Canis lupus familiaris: one gene and its partners. The protein of the gene in region 6 interacts with the protein of the main gene of each other region in a pairwise test. Links are inferred from orthologs where the notes say so. Each region holds a gene or a part of one and is shown on either strand. Other genes may lie near its edges.

What was found.
Region 1: the proteins of MAL2 (region 6) and TPD52 interact in a two-hybrid assay, tested with the Homo sapiens proteins (2 studies listed by BioGRID and IntAct). The link is inferred for Canis lupus familiaris from reciprocal best matches to the Homo sapiens genes MAL2 and TPD52.
Region 2: the proteins of MAL2 (region 6) and NDRG4 interact in binary tests that used the Homo sapiens proteins (3 or more experiments, as listed by UniProt). The two-hybrid records come from large-scale screens. The link is inferred for Canis lupus familiaris from reciprocal best matches to the Homo sapiens genes MAL2 and NDRG4.
Region 3: the proteins of MAL2 (region 6) and PBX3 interact in a two-hybrid assay, tested with the Homo sapiens proteins (2 studies listed by BioGRID). The two-hybrid records come from large-scale screens. The link is inferred for Canis lupus familiaris from reciprocal best matches to the Homo sapiens genes MAL2 and PBX3.
Region 4: the proteins of MAL2 (region 6) and SH3GL1 interact in binary tests that used the Homo sapiens proteins (3 or more experiments, as listed by UniProt). The two-hybrid records come from large-scale screens. The link is inferred for Canis lupus familiaris from reciprocal best matches to the Homo sapiens genes MAL2 and SH3GL1.
Region 5: the proteins of MAL2 (region 6) and PTPN9 interact in binary tests that used the Homo sapiens proteins (3 or more experiments, as listed by UniProt). The two-hybrid records come from large-scale screens. The link is inferred for Canis lupus familiaris from reciprocal best matches to the Homo sapiens genes MAL2 and PTPN9.

What each region holds. Positions count from the first base shown.
Region 1 is NC_049250.1:27,999,506-28,003,005, forward strand, and holds part of TPD52 (tumor protein D52), read right to left. Parts: intron 2,947-3,500; coding exon 2,845-2,946; intron 1,747-2,844; coding exon 1,720-1,746; intron 1-1,719.
Region 2 is NC_049223.1:57,451,226-57,455,476, forward strand, and holds the start of NDRG4 (protein NDRG4), read right to left. Parts: upstream 2,801-4,251; 5' UTR 2,686-2,800; coding exon 2,649-2,685; intron 1-2,648. UniProt on the Homo sapiens protein: Contributes to the maintenance of intracerebral BDNF levels within the normal range, which is necessary for the preservation of spatial learning and the resistance to neuronal cell death caused by ischemic stress.
Region 3 is NC_049230.1:57,499,533-57,503,625, reverse strand, and holds the start of PBX3 (pre-B-cell leukemia transcription factor 3), read left to right. Parts: upstream 1-1,293; 5' UTR 1,294-1,354; coding exon 1,355-1,554; intron 1,555-1,854; exon of another isoform or gene 1,855-1,946; intron 1,947-2,476; coding exon 2,477-2,550; intron 2,551-4,093. UniProt on the Homo sapiens protein: Transcriptional activator that binds the sequence 5'-ATCAATCAA-3'.
Region 4 is NC_049241.1:55,677,540-55,681,679, forward strand, and holds the start of SH3GL1 (endophilin-A2), read left to right. Parts: upstream 1-1,340; 5' UTR 1,341-1,498; coding exon 1,499-1,543; intron 1,544-4,140. UniProt on the Homo sapiens protein: Implicated in endocytosis. May recruit other proteins to membranes with high curvature.
Region 5 is NC_049251.1:38,823,878-38,827,877, reverse strand, and holds the start of PTPN9 (tyrosine-protein phosphatase non-receptor type 9), read left to right. Parts: upstream 1-1,200; 5' UTR 1,201-1,259; coding exon 1,260-1,322; intron 1,323-4,000. UniProt on the Homo sapiens protein: Protein-tyrosine phosphatase that could participate in the transfer of hydrophobic ligands or in functions of the Golgi apparatus.
Region 6 is NC_049234.1:18,780,767-18,785,060, forward strand, and holds the start of MAL2 (protein MAL2), read left to right. Parts: upstream 1-1,494; 5' UTR 1,495-1,536; coding exon 1,537-1,668; intron 1,669-4,294. UniProt on the Homo sapiens protein: Member of the machinery of polarized transport. Required for the indirect transcytotic route at the step of the egress of the transcytosing cargo from perinuclear endosomes in order for it to travel to the apical surface via a raft-dependent pathway.

The DNA of each region.
Region 1 (3,500 bases), on a different chromosome or scaffold from region 6:
CCTGGCCAATTAATAAGACATTTGCTTAATCTTCTTAAACACATAGAGAATAGGGACACATACTAATGAGTCATTCCTCTATAGCACTTACATAAATATTCTTGCATTTTTGTTTATATCACATCTAAAACTGTTTTATATAATCCAGTGTTAACAGGGCTCTTCCACCTTAACTTGTTCCTAGTCCCTGCTTCTTTCCCCCACTCCATCCACTCAAAGATTTTTAAGGTCTTTCCGTACAAGAAGCAGATCTGTTTTATGGTTCTATTCTTTGGACCTGCCCACAAAGTGCAGTCTAATGTTAGCAGGATGGATTATGAGACTGAATACCTGTTCACACACAACTCACAGACAACCTTAGATAAAATGGTCTTAATTAACAGTTGCCTAGATCACTTAGGACGTTTTTTTTTTTTTTTAAATACACTTTTTTTTTTTAATTTTTATTTATTTATGATAGTCATACAGAGAGAGAGAGAGAGAGGCAGAGACACAGGCAGAGGGAGAAGCAGGCTCCATGCACCGGGAGCCCGACGTGGGATTCGATCCCGGGTGTCCAGGATCGCGCCCTGGGCCAAAGGCAGGCGCCAAACCGCTGCGCCACCCAGGGATCCCACTTAGGACGTTTTTAATTGAATACCAAAGATACAGTATCACCTCCTATTAGTGATTTTTTTTTTTTTAAAGCACAGGTTTAACTTTAAATAATTCAGCTTTTAGAGTTGACACATCCCTATGATTTACTCTGACTTCCAGGGCCAAGTGTCAGTAGGGCAGAAAGACCTCAGCTCTAAGTACATATTCCCTTACTTAAGAAGACAGACTACCACAAATGACTGCTTGAGAAGACAATCTGCCTTCATAGGAACAGGTGTGGAGACTACCAATGCTGTCTTTCCTGCTTATACTCTAAAGACCTTGCTCCAACTTCATTTTCTCAACTAATTGGATACACAGTCTGTATGGGAGACAGAGAAGAGGTTTGTTCAACATCACAAAGATTCCTTCTTCTCTAAGGCATGGTTTGGACTGACATCTTTTTAATGTGCTTGTTTTTTAGCCTAAGAGATTATTTTTCTTTTGCAACCATGAAATTTCTTTACATGTACACTTAAAGAATATAATGTATAGAGAAATTAAAGGATAGTAAAAACTATACGCTAACAAAGCAAGTAGTGAAAAGTGCAGAGTAATGGTATATTTTACTTTATGTATATTTTACCACAATAAAAAAAAATATCCAGAGTAACCTGTATAAGATGGGAGACTAACATCACGAGGCGGGACATATGCAGTCTATTACAGATACATAATGAGACCCAGGTGAAGAATTCCAACATCCTGACAAAAGCACCAAAGAAATTAAAGCATCAAAAACAAACAAAGTCAGACATTAAAAGGGAGGAATTCTGTATGCCATGGTTAAGCTGCTTCTTTTTCCCAAAAAAAAAAAAAAAAAAAAAAAAAGTAAGAAACATCAAAATCATTTCCATATCCCTAAACCACAATGTCAAATTATTCTTTTAATTTATCCATTACCCCGGGTATACGAGAAATCCTCCCTTAGAAATAGGTATGCACTAGAGAAAGATATTCCAGATGCAAGAAAAGTATGTAGTGGACAAACACAATCATCCAACGTGGCATAATAATCTAATTAAGCACACTTGTCTTAGACACCACCGGCTAAGCTGCAGGGATGGTTCAAGCTCTCCTTACCTAAAGGAATGTGAAAAGGCTTGCAATCTGCAAGAAGCCGCAGTAAGCATTAAAAAAGAAAGGAAGTTCTGGTAAATCTAAAACAATGAAATTACCTGTTTAAAAGTTGTGTAAGGTTTTAACTGGACTTCCAAAGCGCTATACAGTCAAGTTGGCAAAAAAAGAAATGAGAACACCTACGAGATGTCTATAAACTGTCAGAAGAATCCAAGTAAGCTATGTTTATTACACAATGCTTAGAATGATGATAGTCCAAATATAATAAGCAAGTCATTTTTTTTTTGGTACAATGTATAATACATTTGATTGCCAAACTTATTCAACCAACAAAATTCTGGTTGTAAAAGCTACATTCCCCACAAATGAAAAACACAAAGTCATGCAATCTGAGGGTTTTGTTGGTAAAACAAAATAACTTTCATGCCAACAGAAGCACAGAAAATTTAAACCATGTTTCTCACTTTCAGCGCTATTCTAATCAACATAGGGGAGGAGGGCAGGGGAGACACACAGAAGCACCGTGAAGTGGTTTTATCAAAATTGCCACAAAAACTCTGCAGACTAATCTAAAATATAAATGCAAAATAAAAAGCAAAGCTCAATATCAAGATTTGGGCCTAAGCATGAATGTAGAGAGAGCTTACAAATGAGTACAAGTCAGTACACAGATGGGCATGTTGTAATCACACCACGGTTTGATGTAACCACAATGTAACACACAGAGCTGAAGGCAGGTCTTGGCCCCAGCGTGCAGTCAATGCTCCTGGACGTGTCCCCAGTAGGATCACAGGCTCAGCCCCCAACCACAAACTTGCAACTGCGAGAGATATACTTACCCTGCATGACCAGGAAGGACTAGAAGGATAGAAGTGCACAACCAGAATTTTCCAGCAACTTTAAATGTATTCATAAGATGATTATTTTGAACGCTATGTCTGAAAGTCAGAAAGCTACCCCTAAGATACTTTAGGCAATATTTCCCCTCTCCTGTTTTGAAGGAGTGGGCTCCCCTCAGTTGAAAAGAATCCGGCATCATCCACAGCCAAAGTCAGGAAACCAATGCAACCACAACATAACTTTAATTTGCCTCAGCTACTTAATGAGCAAGGAGAAATGAGGACATACTTTACGTCTTCCAGCTTTTTGGTGATGACTGATCCAACAGAGGAGAAAGCAGCTGACGCCTTCTGCCCAGCTTGAGATAAGGTTTCGGAAGTCTTTTTGTATCTACATTAAATTATAAAAGAACAGAACAAAGAAAAGTTAAGCTAACCTTTTCTAATAGTTATTTAAAGCATAATCACCACCTCTTGGAGAGCTCTCGAAAATTAAAATGATTTTGTTTTCAGAACATCCAATCTGCTTCACAACCACCAGGTTGGCATCATCACTTCACCTGATGCTTACCCCCTCATTCAGGCACGATCTTCTGCAGAGGCCTAGAAAGGCAGGACCAAGGAAATCAGGGTGAGGGGCAAACAATCATGAAGAAAAGATGAAAATGAGCCAGAGGCTGAAAGAAATTATACCTCTTCTTCTTCTCCACCAAAGCCAAACAAGACAAAAATGAAATCAAATTCTTCACGTGCCTTTTATAACTTAATCTCCTAAAAAGGGACCAGAAGCAAGGTAAGGCCCACATGTACTTTATTATTCAAATAAATTGTATGGGCTATAAAGAATTTTTTTTTAATTTCGCATGTCTGCAGAGCTACCAAATAAGGACTTGTAGACTCTCAGCAGAGTATGTAAAAGGTGTGACACTCAAGATAACTTTAGTG
Region 2 (4,251 bases), on a different chromosome or scaffold from region 6:
GTCCGAGAGGATGGGAAGCTGAGGTCTCAGCAGAGTCCCCCAGAGGCACATCTCAGGGAGATCTGGATTGTGTGGAGAAGCCAGAAAAGGAAGTAAACCTCCTGGAAGAAGAGACCCCAGGACACTGAGGAGCGGGTCATGGACATCAGCCCCACAGCTGCTGCCATTTGCTGAGCACGAGCCGGACACTGTACTCAGCGTTCACGCTCTCACGGCTAACTGCGGAAGAAAACACAACCAGGTGGGTACCACGACGATCCCATTTTACAGATGGGAAAAAGAAATGCAAAGCAGCTCCAAGGCTGGCCAGAAGCCAGGCAGTCTGCACACGAGATGACTCAGGGCTCAGGGCTGAAGCTGGGCTCCACCTCTCTCCAGCTGTAGGAAGAAGTGATCTCACGGGGTAGGGGGCGTGGTAACAGAGGGGAGAATGCGAGAACTAGAACAGCTGGAGAAACAGATTCAGCAAACAGGTTTAATGAAACAACTCCCTACTGCTGCCATGGGGCGGGGGGAGTCACAGGCCTCTAAGAAGGTATCCTGGAGACACATGCGATGGGTGGGAGATGTGAGCCTGGACCGAGTGGACGATAATGGAGCGGTTGCTGTGTGCCGCCACAATCTTCGGGCAGGAGAAATGGGTCAACGTCTCACAGGTGCAGGTGAGCAGGAACAATGGGCAGGGGAGAGGGACAGATCCAAACCTCCTAGTGGCCAACCAGCCAGAGGAGGGGGGAGGTTCTCCATTATAGGACCAGCCAAGACCAAGGAACCAGGAAGGTGAAGCCCAGAGGTGCCCACCGGGGCCAGGCCCCTCACCCGTGCGACCTCCGTAAGCCTCAGGCCAACTCTCAGAGGGAGGGGTCGACAGTTCCACCTCTAGGACAAGAAAACTGAAGCCTGAGAGCTTAAGCAAGCTTTCTGAAGTCACACAACTGGCCAACAGTGGGATGGGGATTTGAACCCCGGTCCGTAGGACAGGAATGAGTTGGAAGTATGGCTGCAAAGACCACGCACGAGGCAGAGACTGAAGGGACACACTGAATCCCGGGGCCTGGTGAGGAGTGCAAGGGGGTGGGAGACAGTGCCCAAGGGGCTCCCGTTCCAGGTTCCAGCCTACTGGGGGTCAGAGAGTCTGTCAGCATTGGGCAAGTCTGTCTGATGAGGGAGGAGAGGCCTTGACCCCTGTACTCAGGAGACAAAGGCACATCACACTGCACGAGGTAGGAGGGTAAAGCTGGGCCCCCACTGGAGCGTCCAGACCCGCCTCCCAAGAGCATTCTTCCTCCAGGCCCTTCTGGGACCAAAGAAGAGAAGGGGAGGATCCAGAAGTTCTGCCTTCCATGTAGGGCTCTAAACACCCGAGCGGTTGTAAAAACTTTTCCCTCAAGGGCACTGGCAAGTGCAGTGTCCTGCCGGCTGGCCTGCCTCAGGCTGGCCTGCCTCAAGCGAGCTCTACAAGGAAAAGCTGGCAAGGGACTGGAGGGCAGGTCAGCCCCGCTGCTCTTGGGCTCAGGTGCGGCACTGCTGAGCACCTGGCCAGATTTTCCCCCCGCTTCACAGCAGCCCCCCATCCCTTGTCCGTGAGTCTTTCATGAGCTGCAGGTGAGTTAGCTCTCTCACAGACCAAAACCTCAGCAGACCTCATTCCTCCAGCCCTTGCATCACTCCCAGGGCCCTTGTGTAAGCGGGTCCCCCCGCCCCCAGCCTGGAATGCCACCTCTCTCTCCAGTAATAGAAATCCTCTCTTAGGAAATCCTAGCGTTCCTTAGGATCCACTTCTAACATTGCTACATGCTCAAATCTCTCTGCTCCCCTCCAGTGCCCTCAGACTTCAATCTGTTTCCTGAGTCTACCCCCACCATGCTGTCCCCTTCCCTGTAACAGGGTTCTTGTGCTCTGTTCTCACACACCAGACAGTTAAGGTCCTGGGGGTCAGAAACCAAAGCCTTCCAGGTGCCAGAGGACATGCACGGGACTCCACATATCCACACAGTGCACACTGAGCACCTCCACCTGCCGTGGGGTTGTGGGTGGGGAATGATGGTGCTCCAGGGGGTTTCCCTTTCTAGCCCCTTCCTCATGAACCTCTCTGGGACCTCAGGGCTGGGGGAGCTTTCCCACCTTTCAGATGCCAGGTCCCCCATCCCTGCTCTGTTTCCTGCCTCCACTTCTGGGCATACTCAAGCATCCTCTGTAGATCTCCAGCCACAGCAACCTGGATGCGGTCTCCAGCAGGGGTGTCCCACTGCTTCTCCAGAGGGATCCCAAGGCTGAGGGTCCCATCTGGTTTCCCACTTCCCACACCACTTGGCCTCTACTCCCAGGAATAAACTTCTGCAAGGGAGAGGCGCTCAGTTGTCACAGGGAGCAGGAAATAAGAGGCCTATGGCCGGGCTCCTGTGCCGGCAGGGCCACACTGGGTGGAGGGCTCGGGCTGCTGGGGGACTCTGAGCGGACTGGAGCAGAGCCAGGCGGGCGCAGCCCCACGTCTCCTCCCGGCGCCGGGCTCGCACCAGCGGGCGTCCGCACCCTTTCCTCTGGTTCGACCCGAGCAGCCCCGAACCCCGAGCAGCGCGCCGGGCTCCCGCTCCAACTCGGGACGCCGCGGGAGGCGAGGGCCGCGCCCCGGGCCGGGCGGGCGGTACCTGTCAGCAGTTCGATCCTGTGTCCCAGCACCTTCATCCCTGCGCCGCGGCGGGGAGCGCGCTCGGCCCGGCCGGAGAGGAGTCGGGAGGCGAGGAGGGAAGCAGCTGCGGAGCCGGGAGCGAGGCGGGCGGAGCTGCCGGGAGCCTGGAGCGCTCTCGCCGCCCCCCTCGCCGCGCTCCCCCCTCCGAAACGAGTTAAAAAAAAATCCAACAATTGCACGACCGCGCACCCCTAAAAGGCGCGCGCCGCCACCTGGTCGGGGTGAACTCCGGGAGGCGGAGGGGGCCGCGGGGTGGATGCGGGGTCACTCCCGTCGGCGGCGGAGGGCGAGCGGGGGGGGGGGGGCGTCGCGCTAACAAAGAGGCCCTGCCACCCGCGCCTCCCCCAGCGCGACACACGGGGGTCCCCGAGTCCGTCTGGAAAGGAGGGAGGGGGTGCCACCCTCGTAAGCAAAATGTGGCCCGCGCGAGGGGGCGCGTGGCTCGCGAGTCTCAGGTCTGCCGGGGTGTGGGGGGGGGTGGCCGCAGCCCCCGCGGGGGGAAAGGGGGCGGGAGGCGGGGAGACGGGCCGAGGGCGCCGCCGACTCACCGAGGGTGATGCGAGGAAGAGCGACGCGCAGGCGGGGAGCCGGGCCTGGGCGCGGCGGGTGCGGGTGCGGGCGCGGGTGCGGGCGCGGGTGCGGGCTCGGGTGCGGGTGCAGACGCGGGTGCAGGCTCGGGTGCGGGCCGCCGCGGCCGCGGGGGGGGGGCGGAGCCGGGCTGGGGGCGGTGCGCCGCGGGGGCGTGCCCACGTGGGTGTGGCGGGCGTGGGCGCTCGGCAGGCAGCGGGGACCCCGCGCCCCAGGCCGCCCCGGCCCCCCCGGCCCCGGCCCCGGCCCCGGCTTCCTCCTCCTGGGGCGGCGGGAGCGCCCGAGCCCCGCGGAGTCCCCGGGCGGAGCCGCAGCCCCCCTCCTTCCGCGGGCGTCCGGGGAGGCGCCCCGCCGCTGGCCCCCGCCCGCCCCCCTGCCCCCGGCCGCGCGGCGTAGGACCCCCGCGGGGGGGGGGCCTCCGTCCCGGTCTTTGTTTAGGTTCCCGACGGGAGCCCCCTCCGCCGCTGCCGCTCGCGCCCCACCTGCCTGGCGCCTGGGAGCCCGGCGGGAAAAGCCCAGGGCGGTCGGAACGAACCAGCAGCTCAGGGGCCCTGGAGCCTCGTCCAGTTTTCAGAGCCCCGGGGTTTCCTTGGAGGGGCTCATAGGGGCGGGGGAGGGAGTGATGGTTTCCAGGCAAAGATGTTCTGGGGCCCCAGGGTCCCGCTCGGTGCCTCAGGGCTCCTGCTCTCCTCAGTTCACCCTTCATTGTCTGAGCAGGAAGGGGGAGGGAGGACTGGCCTAGCCTTGTCTTCCTCGGGCTCACTCTGGTCTGGCCCAGTTGCTCTCGCCTGTCACCCCAAAGGAGGCAGCGCTGAAGTCCCTAGATAGAGTCCTACTGTAGGGAGCAGGAAAATTTGATGACCTGAAAGAATTTACTTGGTCAAGACGCTCAACAACAGTGCTTCTGGAGACAGGAGTTTGTGGAGGCCCACCCAGTGATCTTGGCCACCCATCCGCCTCTCTCGGATCACACA
Region 3 (4,093 bases), on a different chromosome or scaffold from region 6:
GCCTCTGTCCCGCCCCGTTCGGCTCCGAGCGCAGCACGATTGGCCTGGGACGGGCAGCGGAACCCCGAGGGGACCACCTCCTGACGGCGAGGGCGGGAAAGCGTGCCAGGCGCTGCCCTAGGCGTGAAGCGCGCGGCGCTGCGGGCGGGCACACGGGGGGCTTTGGAGCGACTTGCCCCGTGTCCCGTACGCGACTCCTCGCACCCGGGACTGTGCACAGCAGCGGCCAGGAGCCCGGGCGGGCGCGGGGCAGAGCGCTTGCAGGCCGGGGCGGCTGCTCTGGCGGGCCCAGGACGCACGCAGGCGTGAGGAGACCGCGGCGCGCTCCCGGGCGCTGGGGACCCGAGGCCGGAGAGGCCGGGCCGCGGCTCGGGGGAGGCGCCAGCGGCGGCGGCGGGAGGCGCAGCGGCCAATGAGCGCGCGCGCCGCCCTCGGGGGCGGGGCGTGCGGCGCGCTGCCCGCCCCCCCCCGCCCCCGCCCCTCCCCCCCGGCGCCGGGGCCGCAGTGAGTGAGTGGCACTGGCAGCCTGTCAATCCCTCAGTCGAGCGGCCTCCGAGCCCGGTTCGCGGCGGCGGCTGGCAGGGCGCGCGGCTCCGGCAGCGGCGGCGGCGACTCCTCCCGCCCCACAGTCTGCTGTCCGCCCGGCGCGCGGCCCGCCGGGGCCCTCCACTGGGCTCCGCGCCCCGCTGCGCCGGCCCGCCCGCTCCCAAACTTTCCTCCTCCGCCCCCTTCGCTCCCCTCGGCCCGCCCGCCGGCCTCCTCCTCCTCCTCCTCCTCCTCCGCCGCCGCCGCCGCCGCCGCCTGCCGCCGCCGCTCCCTCCCCCGGGGCCACCGGGGCTCGGATCCCGCCCGGCCGAGGCGGCGGCGGCGGCGGCGGCCGGGGGAGGGGAGTGCGCGGGCTGGGAGGGGGGCGGCGGGCGTCCCGGCAACTCGGCGGGCTCTGAGGAGCAAGTTGCGCGGGGCCGCCCGGCGGGGCGCGCGGCGGCGAGGAGGCGGCGCGGCGGCCGCGTGAGGGCAGCGGGCGCCGCTGCCTCCGCCTCCGCCACCGCCACAGCCACCGCCGCGGAGCCCGGCGCTTCCGCCCGGCGCTTCTCCTCAGCCTCGGCGGCGGCGGAAGCCGGAGCCGGGCGCCCGTCCGCGCCGCCTCAGCCGCGAGCCCCGCCGGCCGGGCCGCCCCCTCCCCGCGCGGGCGGGGAGCGCGCGGCCGCCTCCCCCTCCCCCTCCCCTCCCCCTCCCCCTCTTTCTTCTCCTCCCTCGTCGCCGCCGCCGCCGCCGCCGCCGCCGCCGCCGCCGCCGCCGCCTCAGCCTTCGCCGTAGCCGCCGCCGCCGCCCGCTCCCGCCCGCGCGCGGCGGGATGGACGATCAATCCAGGATGCTGCAGACTCTGGCCGGGGTGAACCTGGCCGGCCACTCGGTGCAGGGGGGCATGGCCCTGCCGCCTCCCCCGCACGGCCACGAAGGGGCGGACGGCGACGGCAGGAAGCAGGACATCGGCGACATCCTCCACCAGATCATGACCATCACCGACCAGAGCTTGGACGAGGCGCAAGCAAAGTTGGTGTCTCATTAAGCATCTTTTGTGTGCGTGCGGGAGCCGGGCCCGCGGCCGAGTCGGGGCCCCGGGGGCGGGGAACTTTCTCCGCAGACCGGCCGCCTGCCTGCCGGGGCCGCCGGGGGCCCTGCCCGCCCCCCCCGACGCGGGCGGGAGTCGGCAAAGTTGGTCCCGGGGCTCGGGACGGACGCGGTGCCCGCGGGTTCCCGGTGGTCCGCCTCCCGCGTCCGGCGCTCCCGCGGCCCGGCCCCCTCCCGCGGACTCCAAGCTCCCGCCCGGCCCCCGCGCGCGCTGCCCCGAGAGGGCCCCGGGCCGCGCTCGCGGGAAGTGCAACTTTCTCCCCCCGCCCGGAGTCGCGGCGCCGGGCGTCCCTCGGCGGCCGGACGGCCTCGCGGTGCGGGCGGCCGCCCCAGCCCGGCGGGCGCGGGGTGCCGGGCGGCTCCCTGGCGCGTCCGGGTGCGGGCGGCCAAGTTCTCGGGGAGGGAGGGCCGCCTCGCAAACTTTGCCGGGCTGTCACCGCCCGCTGGCCGCGCTCGGCCGGCCGCCGCCGCAGCGCCCGCTCCCCCTGCGGAGGGCGGAGGGCGGAGGGCGGACGCGGGAGCCGGTCCGCGCCGTCCCCTCCCTCGGGGCGCAGGGCTCCGCTCGGCTGTCGAGGCGCCCCGCTCGGGTTCGCGCCCTGCGGTCGCCGAGGCGGCCGCCCGCCGGACGGATGGGTCGCGCCTCGAACGGGCTGGAGCTTGAGCCGCCCGAGCTTGCGGGCTTTCGCTAACTAGTCAACTTGAGTTTCTGTTGACTTGCCCTGGTTCCAGGCGAGCCTTCCAAAAGAGAGGGCCGGGATTCAATCTTGGGTCGAACTTAAAGGAAGGCGCCATATTATTCCATAGGTGATGCTAATACCTTTGTATGTTGCGATTTGTCTTTTAGGAAACATGCTCTCAACTGTCACAGAATGAAACCTGCGCTCTTCAGCGTCCTGTGTGAGATCAAAGAGAAAACAGGTAAGAGGCTGCGCCCCGCAGCGGGCCTGGAGACCCCCGAGGTGGGGTCAGAGCTACTCCTTCCACTCTCCAGTTGAGAGCTGCTGCTTTTGGGCACCGCCATCTTTGATCATTCTCTCCTTCCCACCTCCTGGTCTTGAGGAAAAACTGCAATAAATCTGCTGGAGTCGATTTCTCAATTCCGCCCCTGGTATAAAATGAAGTGTAGATGCGGACGGGGCTGGGTCGCTGTCCCCAGGCGGCCGCCCCTGGCTGCAGGCAGGGAGGGGCCCCCCCCCACGAGCCGAGCGCCAGCCGCCTTGCCTTCTCCCGCTCCTTTCGCCTTGTTTGTATGTCAGTTTTTAAAAGGAGCAACGGGAGACTGGATGCCAGGGACCGAGTCCCTGGGAGAAGCATCTCCTAACTTTGTTTTACTTAGACACCCTAAGTAAGCTTCAGCTCCGCAGATAGATGCAATTGAACAGACTCCAGGAGGATGTCTGGATTAGGGTTTTAGTTGGAAAGGCTACTTTTAAGAAGCAGGAAAGGGTAATGATGTGTTTAGGCATACACAATGTATTACACCTATTACTTTCATTAAATTTTATGTTTGAAGTCATTACATTGTAAATACGTTTAATATGTTTTAGAAAGTAGAAAAAGGTTCACAGCAGGTTACACAATTTTTGAAGTGTTCAGTGCAGGGAACATATGAGAAAGACAGGTTTGACAGAAGTGCTGGAATAAAAACTACAAAAACATGAGTCTCTGACAGTTCATTTCAATTGAATTTTCTTGTTAGGCTTTTTAAAATTAAAGGTATTTTAGTTTTGAGGTGATAACTCAAGTGGAATCAGAAATTTAATTTAGGTGCTTTAGTTCGGATTTGGCGTTATCTGCCCTGTATTATGGCAAACAAGTGCATTAAACAAGCTTTACTGTTGATTTGTCTGGGGTGCGTGCTTGTGTGTGTGTGTGTGTGTGTGTGTGTGTGGTAGCTATATGGTATTATAAAGTTGCTGTTTTTTAAGTTGAGGCAGAGAAGAGAAAGTTAAAATCCAGGATATAGCAATATCCAAGTGATGCTTTTAAAAGATTAAATGTCATTGTATTTAAATCAAGTGTACAAATGATAGTACACTGAATATACTTGTTAGTTGGTAGGAGTATTGCCATCCCTTTAAGTAGATTTTTCACACTCAGTGCTATTCTAATTCTAAAAGTAATCAAGAGAAGATGATGGGTTATTGCTATCTATTAAAATGTATACTGAAACCATAATTAATAGAAAATATTGAGATCTTTAAAGAACAGTTTTCTTGCTTCTCATTCACATAGCATTCATGGTTTGTAAATGCTGAGTGATTCTTTTTAAGATAACATTTTACATTTTGAAAACTACAGGCATTTTAAATTACTAACTTTGTGTTGATTTTTAGCCACCTTTAGGAAGCATTGTGATTTAAAATGGTAGATAATTTTTGTCTGACTATAAAATGAGACATCAAACATTAAATCTTGAAGATTCTTAGTTTAGAAGCCTAAAAGTGTACAATTCTCAGTA
Region 4 (4,140 bases), on a different chromosome or scaffold from region 6:
CCGGGAGCCCGACGTGGGATTCGATCCTGGGTCTCCAGAATCGCGCCCCGGGCCAAAGGCAGGCGCCAAACCGCTGCGCCACCCAGGGATCCCATTTTTTTTTTAAACATTTTTTTAAATTTTTATTTATTTATGATAGTCACAGAGAGAGAGAGAGAGAGAGGCAGAGACATAGGCAGAGGGAGAAGCAGGCTCCATGCACCAGGAGCCCGATGTGGGATTCGATCCTGGGTCTCCAGAATCGAACTTCCAGTTAATTCAATAACAATTGATATAAAAAACAAAAATCAATTAACATGTGTAAAACTGAGAGAATTTCCTGAAAGAGGTGACATTCCCAACAGATTTCTCTTTTATGCACAAAGGATGGGGGGCGGGGGGGGGGAGATTGGGGGAAAATGTGCCAGAAAAGAACAACCTTAGCAAAGGCCCACAGGAAACAGGGATCATGGGTTATAGAAGAGGAAGAGAGCTGAAGTCAGAAGAGTTGATGGAGCCAAAATCTGTAAGCTTTGTAGGCCATGCTACGAAGTTGAGAGTGTATTGTGAAGATAGTAGACTAATGTGGTATACATTTTGTTATAGAGCATCCTTTTTTTTTTTTTTTTTTTTTTTTTAAGAATGTACTCATTTATTCATGAGAAACACACAGAGAGAGGCAGAGACTCAGACAGAGGGAGAAGCAGGGTTCTCACGGGGAGCCCGACATGGGACTTGATCCCTGCACCCGGGATCACGCCCTGAGCCGAATGCAGATGCCCAACCGCTGAGCCGCTCAGGCGTCCCTCTGAGTATTTTTAAGGGGGATAATTGGAGGGGGAACCTGCAGGTGGGCATACCAGCGAGGAGACTGGGTGCGATAGTCTGGCCTGGGCAGGGAGGCCAGGGGGATAGAAAAGCAATAAAGGGACACCCTGATGTCGTACTAGGGCAACTAAATGGATGAGCACGTGGCAGGGCTGAAGGCGGTGCGTGTGGAAGGGACTAAATGCACAGAGAATTGGGTCGGCTGAGATTAGCGAACGACGTCTGATTTACAGACCCAGCCTCCCAACCTCTCCAGGATTTAAGCGCCTTTCCTAAAACGCTAGGACTACCTCCGGGCCGCCAGGAGGCGCTGTAGCCTCCAGGGTCTCTCTAGGCTCGTTCCCGTCGGCTCGCTGTCGGAGGCGGCCTCAACGGGGGGGGAGGGGAGAGGGCAAGACGTGCGCGTGCGCTCTCCGGCCGGCAGGGGGCGCGCGTGCGCGGTCGGGGCCGGGGGCGCGCGCAGGCCGGCACCGGAAGTGTGCGGTTGCCATGTAATATCCTGGCCGCGCGGGCGCGCGAGGGGCCTGAGGCGGCGCCGGGGCGGGCGCGGAGCTGGCGAGAGCGCGGTGGAGGCAGCGCCGACGGGGCCCGCTGAGGCGCGCGGGGTATCGGCGGCGCCCGGGAGCCTGTCGCTTGCGCGGTCCCTCCGGTTCGCTGGGTCCGGGCGGGAGCCCCTACGGCGGGAGGCAGCATGTCGGTGGCGGGGCTGAAGAAGCAGTTCTACAAGGCGAGCCAGGTGAGCGGCGGCCGAGGCGGGGGAGCTGGCGCCGCGCCCCCAGGCTGTGCGGAGTCGGGGACCCGGCCAGGCCCGACGGGGCTCGTGAGGGGGCCGCCGGCTCCGGAGGCGCGGCGTTGGCGCGCGGCGTCCGCTGAGGGGGTCTCCCACCCGCGAGGGACGGGGGCTGCCGACGAGGCGGCTCACGGGCCCGCCCGCCATGTGGGCTCGGGTCTCCCCGGGAGGGTGGGCAGACCCCGGGGAGGGGCGGCGGCGCCCCGGGACGCGGACCCGGGACGCGGACCCGGACGCCGTCGCCTTCCCTCGCGGAGACGGGCCCGGAGCGGGCGAGGAAGACACTGCCCTGAGGCTGTCGACACAGGACTCCTGCCAGAGAGCCCGGGGGCAGGGAAACTTGGCGTCCGCAGTCGTTCTCCAAAACAAACAAACGAAAACCCCTTTTGATGGACCCGCTACAAAGTTGGGAAAGGGTGGAGGGGAAAGCCCCGCTTCCGCCTCCAGTCCCCCGGGGCATCCAGCCCCTCTCCCCAGGGGCAAGGACCGGCATCTTTTCCGAAGATCGGTTACACCTTTCCTAGAAAAACGCACACGCACACGCACACGGTGGTACCGTGGCCTGTGTAGCCCTTTGTACTTCGGCTTTTTCGGTTTTCCGTTCCATGTGTTCGGAGATAATGCTAGAGCTGGAATTCTCCGCCTCAGACCGCGCTGTCCTGGGCACTGTGGGGGCGATGAGGGGCATCCCTGGCCCCACCCGCTTGATGCCAGGAGCACCCCCCCCCCCCAATCCTGACACCACACATACCTCCCCCTGCTACCAAACGTCCCCTTCTGCCCCCACCCCAGAGCCACTGCCCTGGAGCATACCCCTAGAGTCTCTTTGATCTTCTTTTCTTTTTTAAGATTTTATTTATTTATTCATGAGAGACACACACAGAGAGAGAGAGAGACACAGGCAGAGGGAGAAGCAGGCTCCATGCGGGGAGCCCGATGTGGGACTTGATCCCAGGACTCGCAATCACACCCTGAGCTGAAGGCTCGCCAAACCGCTGATCCCCCCATCCCCTCTCTTTGATCTTCTTAATGGGTGTTGATATTCCAGTCATCTTTGGGGGATTGGTTAAATTTTGACCAGTCATCTGTTGATGTATGTGTGGATCGTTTCCTGTCAGTTTGTGCTACACACAATGAATAGCCAGTGAATATCTTTGCTCAGAGGTGGGATTGGGTTTATAGGATAAATTCCCAGAAGGAGAATGCTGAATCCGAGAGTATGTATGTTTTTAGACGTGACAAGTAAGTATAGGGTGGTTTTTTGTTGTTTTTTGTTTTGTTTTTTTGGAATGTCCCGGCCCCATTGCTCAAGAATCTGGTGAAAGCTGTGGATCCACTCTCCAGAAAGCTGGAGCAAGTGGGAGATTCAGTTTATAGTTTCAGATCCACGAAGCCCCAGATTTCTTGAATCCTCTTGATCCCCGCATCCCAGATTAAGAACCGTAGGTGGGCACTTTGTGTGGATAGAATCCGTGAAGGAATGAGCGACCATCTTAGGGATTGTGTGGGCCCTGCTGGCAAACTGGGCTTTTCCCACAATTTGGAAAAGTTCAGTAGGAGAGAAGAGAAATAAGTCGACAGTAACTCAGCTGGAACCTTTTGCCCCTTGATGGAAAAAGTCATGACCCCACGCTAGTGTTTATCTAGGGCAAACCCCAGATGATGGCTAACCCCTAGAGGAAGAAACACTTAATCCGGGGGGGTTCTGGCATTATTGCTGAGAGTACAGCCCTTTGTCCCAGCAGGGTAGAATTAAGTGACCTGGCCCTGGGTTGGACCCTGCCCAACAGGCATCAGACCACCAGGGCTTGACCAGAGCAACTGGGGATGGTGCTTGCTGTCTTGGACCTTGATGTAGTCCCTCCTGCAGGAGAAGCCCCCTCCTCCCAACCCCTAGCTCTCAAGGCCCATGCTGGAGGGCCATACTGTCCCAAGCAGGCACACTCTGCTAGAGGAACTGGCTAGGCTGCTCAGACTGGCCACCAGAGCTTTTTCTTGAGGGGGCAGTGGTAGGGGGTGCCCTGCATTCAAATCTGTGAGGGAATGGAAAACACTGTGTAGTATAAGCTGCTGGTTCTGATCAATTTGTGATCTCGCCATTCTGAGGCCCATCTCAAAGAATTGCTGCGATGGCCACATCCTACTCTGGGAGCGGCTGTTTTGGACTCTTGATAAATCCTCTGCTGAGTTGTGCTCTCAAGAATCATGCTGGCTGTGCTCCACTCTCTTCTGCAATAGTTTCCACAGGCCCCCAGCATCTCTGTTGTTTATCCAAACGTGTCCATCTCTTTGTGTGATTCTTTTCTTATCCTCAGTACACCCATTTTCATCCTTTTGTCCTCAGAGTAGGGTTGGCTGTTGAAAAGTATAAGGCAGTAGTTAACGTCTGTTGAACTCTCACCTTGTGGACAGGCAGTATGCTTTTAGCCACTGGTCTCATTTATCTGCCATAAGGATAAACATACTATTCTTTTTACACAAAATGATGTGGGGACATTTAGTATATGTGCTGCCGAAGCGAGCACAATGTGGGGACATTTATA
Region 5 (4,000 bases), on a different chromosome or scaffold from region 6:
GAGGGTCGACCCGCTGCTGCTCCCCTGCGGGACTGAGCGCGGCTCCCGCTGAGGGCCGCAGGTGCGGGCGCCCGGGCGGCGGTCGGCGGTCCTCGGGGGCGAAGGGGGTGCGGCCTGCGGGCGCGGTGCCGCGGAACACCAGCCGCCTCCCCCGACCCCTGCGGCCCTCCCCCCCGCGGCCCTCCCCCCCAGACCCCCCCGCAGCCCTCCCTCCTCCCCTCCGCCCTCCTCCCGCGGGGTTACCCCCCCACCCCCGCAGCAGCCCTCCCTCTTCCCTGCGGCCCTCCCTCCTCCCCTCTTCCCCCTCCCCCAGACTTCTCCCCCACCGCCCCTCAGCCCTCCCTCTTCCCTGAGGCCCTCCCCTTGCCGCCCCCCCACCCCGTCCTTCTTCCCCTGCGGCCCTTCCCCCACCGCCTACCCCCCCACGGCCCTCCTTCCTCCCGCACCCCCCCCCCGCAGCCCTCCCTCTTCCCCGCGGCCCTCCCCCCTGCGGCCCCCCTCTTCCCTGCGGCCCTTCCCCCCCAGATCCCCCCGCAGCCCTCCATCCTCCACGCAGCCATCCCCCCTCCCCCCTACTCCCCCTGGGCCCTCCCCCCCGCAGCCCTCCCTCCTCCCTCCTCCGTCCCCCCGCCCCGCCCGGCCTCCCCCTCCCGGCGGGTCCGCCCCCGCCCCGCCCCGCCCCGCCCCGCCCTCCGCGCCGCCGCCCGTTTGTGAATGAGAAGCCGCTTTCTGAATGGAGCCGCGGGGCGTCGGGCGGGCGCTGCGGCGCGGGCGCTGAGCCCGGAGGGGGCGCCCAGTGCGCGGCGGGGGCGGGGCGGGGCGGGGCGGGGCGGGGGGCAGGGCCGCGGCCCCGGCTCGGGCGGGCGGCTGTGGGCTGTGGGGAGCTCCCGCCGGACCCCCGACCGCCCGGGGCGCTGCGGGCCGGCACCTCGGGGCGCGGGGCGGGCGCGTCCCTGCGGGAGGGGAGGGGCGCGGGGGGAGGGGCGGAAGCCGGGATTTCCGCCGAGCGGGCGGCCGCGGCCCTTCCTCCGGGAGCAGACGCGGCGTTGGCGGCCGCCCGGCCTCTCCGCCCGGCCTCTCCGCCCGGCCTCTCCGCCCGGCCTCTCCGCCCGGCCTCTCCGCCCCGCCATGCGCCGGCCGGGCCCGGGCTGCTGAGACGCGGAAGCGGCGGCCGCGGACCCCCGCCCCGCCCCGGCCCCGGCTCCGGCCCCCGCTCCCCGCTCCCCGCTCCCCGCTCCCCGCTCCCCGCTCCCGGCGGGATGGAGCCCGCGACCGCGCCCCGGCCCGACATGGCGCCGCAGCTGACCCCGGAGGAGGAGCAGGTAAGCGGCGGCCGGGGGGGCGACCCCGGCCCAGGACCCCCGCCCCCGCCCCCGCGCCCCTGCCCCGGCCGCGGCCCGCACGCCCCTCCCCCTCCCCTGCCCCCTGCCCACCCGCGGGCCGCACACGCCCCCCATCCTGCCCCTGCCCACCCCCCGCACCCCTACCCCTGCCCCCGCGGGCCGCCCCCGCCCCCCCCCGGTGGCATCCAAGTCCCCGGCCCCCCCCCCGCCCCCGGGGATGCTCGGCTCCTTGCCCCGACGGTCCGCGGCTCGGGCTCGGCGGGCACGGCCGGGGGGCGGGGGGGCTGCGGCAGCGTCTCGGCTCCCGGTGAGCCCGGAGGGTCGCCCCGCAGCCCCGCGGCCCCGCGGCCCATTGTCCCGAGAGCCCCGGCCCCGCAGTTCCCAGGAGGCGGCGGCTCGCGGCGCCCCGGGGCCGGGTCAGGGGGAGCCCGGGGCCCCGGCCGCCCTTCCCGCGCCCGCTCGCCGACCTCGGGGGCCCGGCGCTGCCTAGACCCGGCCTCGGGGAGGCTGCAAGGCCACGGCCGGATCTCACGTCGTTAAGAAAAAGAAACACACCCTGAACTAAGGAAAAGATGAACCGCACGGGCGCCCCGCGCCGGCCCAAGCTCCCGGGCCTGTCCCCAGGGACGCTCGCGGCCTCCGCGGTGCGCGGCGGGTTCCCCAGCCTCGTCCTAGTCGGTGGGCGCCGAGGCCCTCATGTCCAGAAGGTGCTTGACTCCTCTCCTCGTCCGGGGAGATGACATCTTCCGCATGTGGCCTCGGACCGCCGCCTTGCCTTGCCTTCTCACGCCTTGAGATAAAATCGGCATCGGGAGGGGAAAGAATAAAAGAATTCTGCTCCGTGCGAGCCGTGGTTACATCCTGGTAACTGCAGTTGAGATTCATAAAATGCTCGTCAGGGCCTAGCGCAGGCAGGTGGCCAAGGGGCCCGTCCACCCACAATTAGGGAAATAAATGCTTCGGCACTAAGGTATGATGCGTTAGGTTGATCTGATTTTATTTTATTTTATTTTACTTTATTTTATTTTATTTTACTTTATTTTATTTTATTTATTTTATTTTATTTATTTTATTTTATTTTACTTTATTTTATTTTACTTTATTTTATTTTATTTTACTTTATTTTATTTATTTTATTTTATTTTACTTTATTTTATTTTACTTTATTTTATTTTGCTTTATTTTATTTTATTTTATTTATTTTATTATTTTATTTTTTAATTTTTTTAAAATTTTTATTTATTTGTGATAGTCACAGAGAGAGAGAATGAGGCAGAGACACAGGCAGAGGGAGAAGCAGGCTCCATGCACCAGGAGCCTGACGTGGGATTCGATCCCGGGTCTCCAGGATCGTGCCCTGGGCCAAAGGCAGGCGCCAAACCGCTGCGCCACCCAGGGATCCCTATTTTATTTTATTTTATTTTATTTTACTTTATTTTATTTTACTTTATTTTATTTTGCTTTATTCTATTTTGCTTTATTTTATTTTGCTTTATTTTATTTACTTTATCTTATTTTATTCTACTTTATTTTATTTTATTTTACTTTATTTTATTTATTTTATTTTACTTTATTTTATTAATTTTTATTTTATTTTACTTTATTTTATTTTATTTTACTTTATTTTATTTTATTCTACTTTATTTTATTTTATTTTACTTTATTTTATTTTATTTTATTTTACTTTATTTTATTTTACTTTATTTTACTTTATTTTATTTTATTTTACTTTATTTTATTTTACTTTATTTTGCTTTATTTTATTTTACTTTATTTTATTTTATTTTATTCTACTTTATTTTATTTTATTCTACTTTATTTTAATTTTTTTTCATTAGGCTGACCTTAAAGAGGCAAAACGCATTCACTTCTTTTCATTGGATTAGTCAGATTTAGAGTTTCTATGTTTCTAATACTTCAAGGCATTAGTATTCCACTGCGACAATGGCACTAGGGTACCTATTAAAAAATTAAGACCAAGGAAAGTAGATATTTAAGTATTGTTAAAGTCAGTGCTTTAGTCTGCACAGAGTATATACATATACGGGTGTGTTTAGAAAAAAATCTTTTACAGTGAACAATGTGATGGGCATTAACAAGAACTGGATGGGAACAGTTAAATATTTATTTTTTTAAAGATTTTATTCATTTATTCATGAGACAGAGAGACAGAGAGAGAGACCAGCAGAGACACAGGCAGAGGGAGAAGCAGGCTCTATGCAGGGAGCCCAATGCAGGACTCGATCCCAGGACCCCGGTATCAGGCCTGGGCCAAAGGTAGACACTCAACCACTGAGCCACCCAGGGATCTCTTTTCTTAAATTTCATTTATTTAAAAGAATATTTTATTTATTTATTCATGAGAGACACACAGAGAGAGGCAGAGACACAGGCAGAGGGAGAAGCAGGCTCCCTGCAGGGAACCTGATGCTTTTAAATATTTATTAAGATCAACAAGGATAGGGACTCCTGGGTGGAGCCCAGGATCCAGTCTCACATCAGGCTTCCCTTGGGGAACCTGCTTCTCCCCCTGTATGTCTCTTGCTCTCTCTCTGGGTCTCTCAAGAATAAATAAATTAAATCTCTTTTTAAAAAAAAAGATCAACAAGGAATGTGGGTTTTTAAAAATCATATCGTTTCCTACAAAATGCCAAGTT
Region 6 (4,294 bases):
ACCCACACCCTGTTTTGTGGGGTTTGCCCTATTCTTGCCACCACACCTATGAGTTTCACTTATTAAAATAATGAAGAGGTAGAACGGCTAAAATCTGCTGACCAATGCATAGAGCTATACAGAGTTCTTTAAAGGCTACTGATAGACAAGACCAGTATTTGGAGGATGCCTGATGATGTCACGTAATATTTTTTTCCAACCTGTTCTGCCTGTGTATGCTGGTGTGTGTACTTTTGTTTATATTCAGCTAATCTCTGAGAAGGTTAACTCTCCTATCCTTTATCTCACTTACAAAATGTTGACCTTAAAATCAAAGATAAAATGGGGATAAATTGGGGCAGGGAATCTAAAGTATACATAGCATCCTTAAAAAAGAAAATCCATTTAAGTGTCTAAGAGACAATTCATAAGTTTCAGACAGGTAAAATCAATAATTAAAGTTTTATGCGGAAAATACAGCCTATGCAACAACATGTGTACACAAGAGCATGATAGGTGCATGTGTAAAAAATCTAAAAAAAATAGCAGTCATCCTATCAGCGCCTATTGAAGGGCGCTTACCATGAGCTAAGCTCTTTTCATGTTCATGTAATCTGGGCAATCCCAAGAGGTAAAGACCCTTGCCCCCATTTCACAGATGAGCACACCACCGGCACCCAAAGAAGCCAGTTAGCTGTCCAGCATCCCCCTCGCCTCCACCACCAATGGATGTTGGAGCTGAGCCAGCTGACTCTCCTGGAGGGTATCATGCTGAGTGAAGTAAGTCAATCGGAGAAGGACAAACATTATATGGTCTCATTCATTTGGGGAATATAAAAAATAGTGACAGGGAATAAAGGGGAAAGGAGAAAAAATGAGTGGGAAATATCAGAAAGGGAGGCAGAACATAAAGACTCCTAACTCTGGGAAACGAACTAGGGGTGGTGGAAGGGGAGGAGGGCGGGGGTGCGGGTGACTGGGTGGTGGGCACTGAGGGGGGCACCTGACGGGATGAGCCCTGGGTGTTATTCTGCATGTTGGCAAACTGAACACCAATAAACAGTAAATTAAAAAAAAAAAGAAAGATAAAAAAATCCCACTAGAGTCCCATTTAGGGCAGATCCACTCCACTTTTTAGGTGTGGCTGGTGACCTTGATTTTACCTTCTGAGTCACAACTTCAAGACCCGTCTTGCAGCTAAATCGAGGAAAGTGGGGAAGGGAAGTTGCGAGGCCCGGGGCGGGGGGAGGGCAGCGGGGAGAGACCAGGTTGAAACGAAGACCAGGGGGCGGAGAGACCAGGGGAGCGCGGCGCCGCGGGGGGGACCGCGCCAGGAGGCCAACGCACCTGCGCCCGGACCCGGCGGCCGCGGCTCGCGCACCTGGGCCCACGTGACGGGGCGGGGCGGGGCGGGGCCCCGCGCGGCCACGCCCCCTCCCCGCGGCGCGCCCGGACCCCGCGGACCCGAGCGGCGGCGGCGGCGGCGGGAACCCGGCGGCGGCGGCGGCGGGCGGAGGGAGGGCGGCGGCGGCGGAGACGCAGAGCGGCAGCGGCAGCATGTCGGCCGGCGGAGCGCCAGTCCCGCCGCCCCCGAACCCCGCCGTGTCCTTCCCGGCGCCCCGCATCACCCTGCCCGCCGGCCCGGACATCCTGCGGACCTACTCGGGGGCCTTCGTCTGCCTGGAGATTGTAAGTGGGGCGGCCCGGTGACCGGCGCGCCCGCCGCATCCCTGCCCCCGCCCCCCGCCCCCGCTCCCTTCGCTCCCACGTGGCCCGCACCTGCGCCGCCCCGGGGTCCCGCCCTCCGCGAGCCCCCGCCCGGGCCCACCGCCTGGCACCTGTTACGCGGGCACCTGCGCCCCCGCTGGCCACGGGGACCGCCCCCCGGGAGCGATCGGGCGGCCCGGCGGGGCCCCGGATCGGCACTTCGGGGAGGGGAGGGTGTTGGGCTCGGGGCACGGCCGGAGCCCCCGGCGGCTTGGCTAGAGCTGGAGCAGGCGCCCTCGGCCTCGCCTGTTGCTAACCTGCCATCTTGCTGGGTGGTGCGGAGGTGTAGCCGCCGGTGACCGAGCGACCTGGAGGCCGCCTCGCCTCGCCGAGAAAAGACGCGGGGGGGGGGGGGGGGGGGGCAGGTAGCAGGAAGGGGAGGCGGGCTTAAGACCTAGGCCAACCCCCCCTCCTCCTTTGCCATTATTAGTGCCCTTTGAGTTGGAGAGGGGAGCAGCGTTTAGGAGGCAGAGCAGGGAAAAAGGTCAAGTCTGAACCGTGCCCTTGGCAGGTTCTAATCAAGTGGGCGTGACGGTGGTGGAGGAAAGGTAGAAACGTGGTTGTCCAGTTCCTCGCTGCCTGCCTTTGCACCTTCTGGCTCCCTAGTGGACCTGGGCAGCCCCACGCCTTCTCAGCACACTTCGTTGGGCCCAGGTGACGGTGAGGTTACCTGGCCTAGCCTGCAACCTTATCGGGCCAGAGATTTAAACTCTCTAAAGGCAATTTTATAGACTTGGGAGTTTTTGGACCAGGGGAAATGTGCAAACATAAATTGGGCAACCCAAGGTTGCGTCAGGCCCTGAGAACGGCGGATCCAGAGTGCAACGATAGCAAGTGCCTGCCCTTCCTGCAGGCTGATGTTGTTTGGTCCCGTGTGGAGTTTCCGTCTCTCTTCCCTAACCTGCTCCTTTGAGTTTGCATAACCTGGATTTGGTAGCTTCAGTTTCACTTTTGTGCTCGTGGGGCTGGAACGCCTTGCGAGCATTGGTTTTCTTGCCCTATTATGCTAAGGTGGCTAAGGCGTGCTAGGTTAAGTTTAGCTCAGATTTGAATCTGAAAAAGGAGACAAGTGAGTTACAGGCTACGACATCAGTAATCGGATCGTGACGGCGAGGCTGGAAGAGGCTGCTTTGAGTCTGAGCCCAGTTCAGAAGCATCTGAACGCTTGGGATGAGGTACAGGCATCCATGTGAGAAGAGTAGGGAGAGGATGGCACTGGGCCCGGGCGCTGTTGTGCGTGGGGGAGATGCGCCCAGAACAGTAGGATCTGGGGAGGAAGCTTGTATAAGTTCTGGGCTGCTTTAGTTCCATGTTCCTCTAACTCGGCTTGTTTGCATACCTCTTCTACAAGTTTTTGCCAAATCCACATTCCACCTGTACTAGAATTTACAGAATGTTCACTTCAATTCACTTCTAAACTTTAGTACCCACTTCAAGCCTCATTCTAAGCAATAATACCGTGAATCCTCAAATTTGATACACTGGGTATATTTTTCTAATGTTTACTCAACTACCTATTTATATATTTACTTATATGTATGTGTATATGTAAAGAGATGTAAGGGTACACGTGTGTGTCTATGACACGTATATACGAAGAAGGCTCATCCGTGTGCCGTCAAATCAAATACTGTCTCAGGGACCATCCGTGGTCTTATCACACTTTTGGAAACGCTGCCTAATTCTGAGGGAGAAAGTGGGAGTGCTTCATTCTACTCTGTTTCCTCTCCCCTGCCCCCATATCTCTTTATCTGGCCCAGGAGTTAGTTCTCAACTCTGCTGTACTTAATTACTTGGGCAGCTTTTAAAAATACGGTGACTGGCCCAGACTAATTAAATCAGAATCTCCTGGGGGAGGGGGGGTGCCCAGAGTCAGCCAGTTTCTTCTAAAAGCTCCCTAGAGCTTCTAGTGTACAGTCATGGCTGGGAAGCACCAAGAGCGGCCTTTATCAGGGCTCTGTGGACAAGACAGCCCTCACGCAAATATGAATTTTCTCCCTGTGTGAGAGCTTTCCCCCTTCCCTATTCTAGTAGGGACCCAGGCTCACAGAATTATCCAGCCTTTCCTCTTATTTCTTCATGTCATAGGGCTTCTCACTCCAGAAACATGTCTCAGACCCTTACCTACATAGAATAGCACCACTTCCAAAAGCCATGTTGGTTTACTCTTCATTTTTTTTATGCCAAACATATGTAATAACTTAAAATCTAGGCCTCCCTTACCTCTTTTACTTGGCTATCATCCTTGTTTCTCCTCAGCCCACCCCTTCAAAAATAAAAGAACCAAAATCATCCAATGAAGCTGGTGACCTCAGAGAAACAACAGACCTCATTGGAGCTGAACTATAAGCTCATGCTTGGTTCTTACCCTCCCATACAGCTTAGAGATACTGGATTATACGCCATAAGAGAGCAGAGATCAAGGCTGCCTTGGTACCTCTCTATCTAATACACCCATATGAGCTACGTAAACACATTGGATGTATCTTTGGTCCCAGCTTTTTAAATTTCCCTCCAGCTTTCTGGTTCCTTTAACATGTTCCATCTC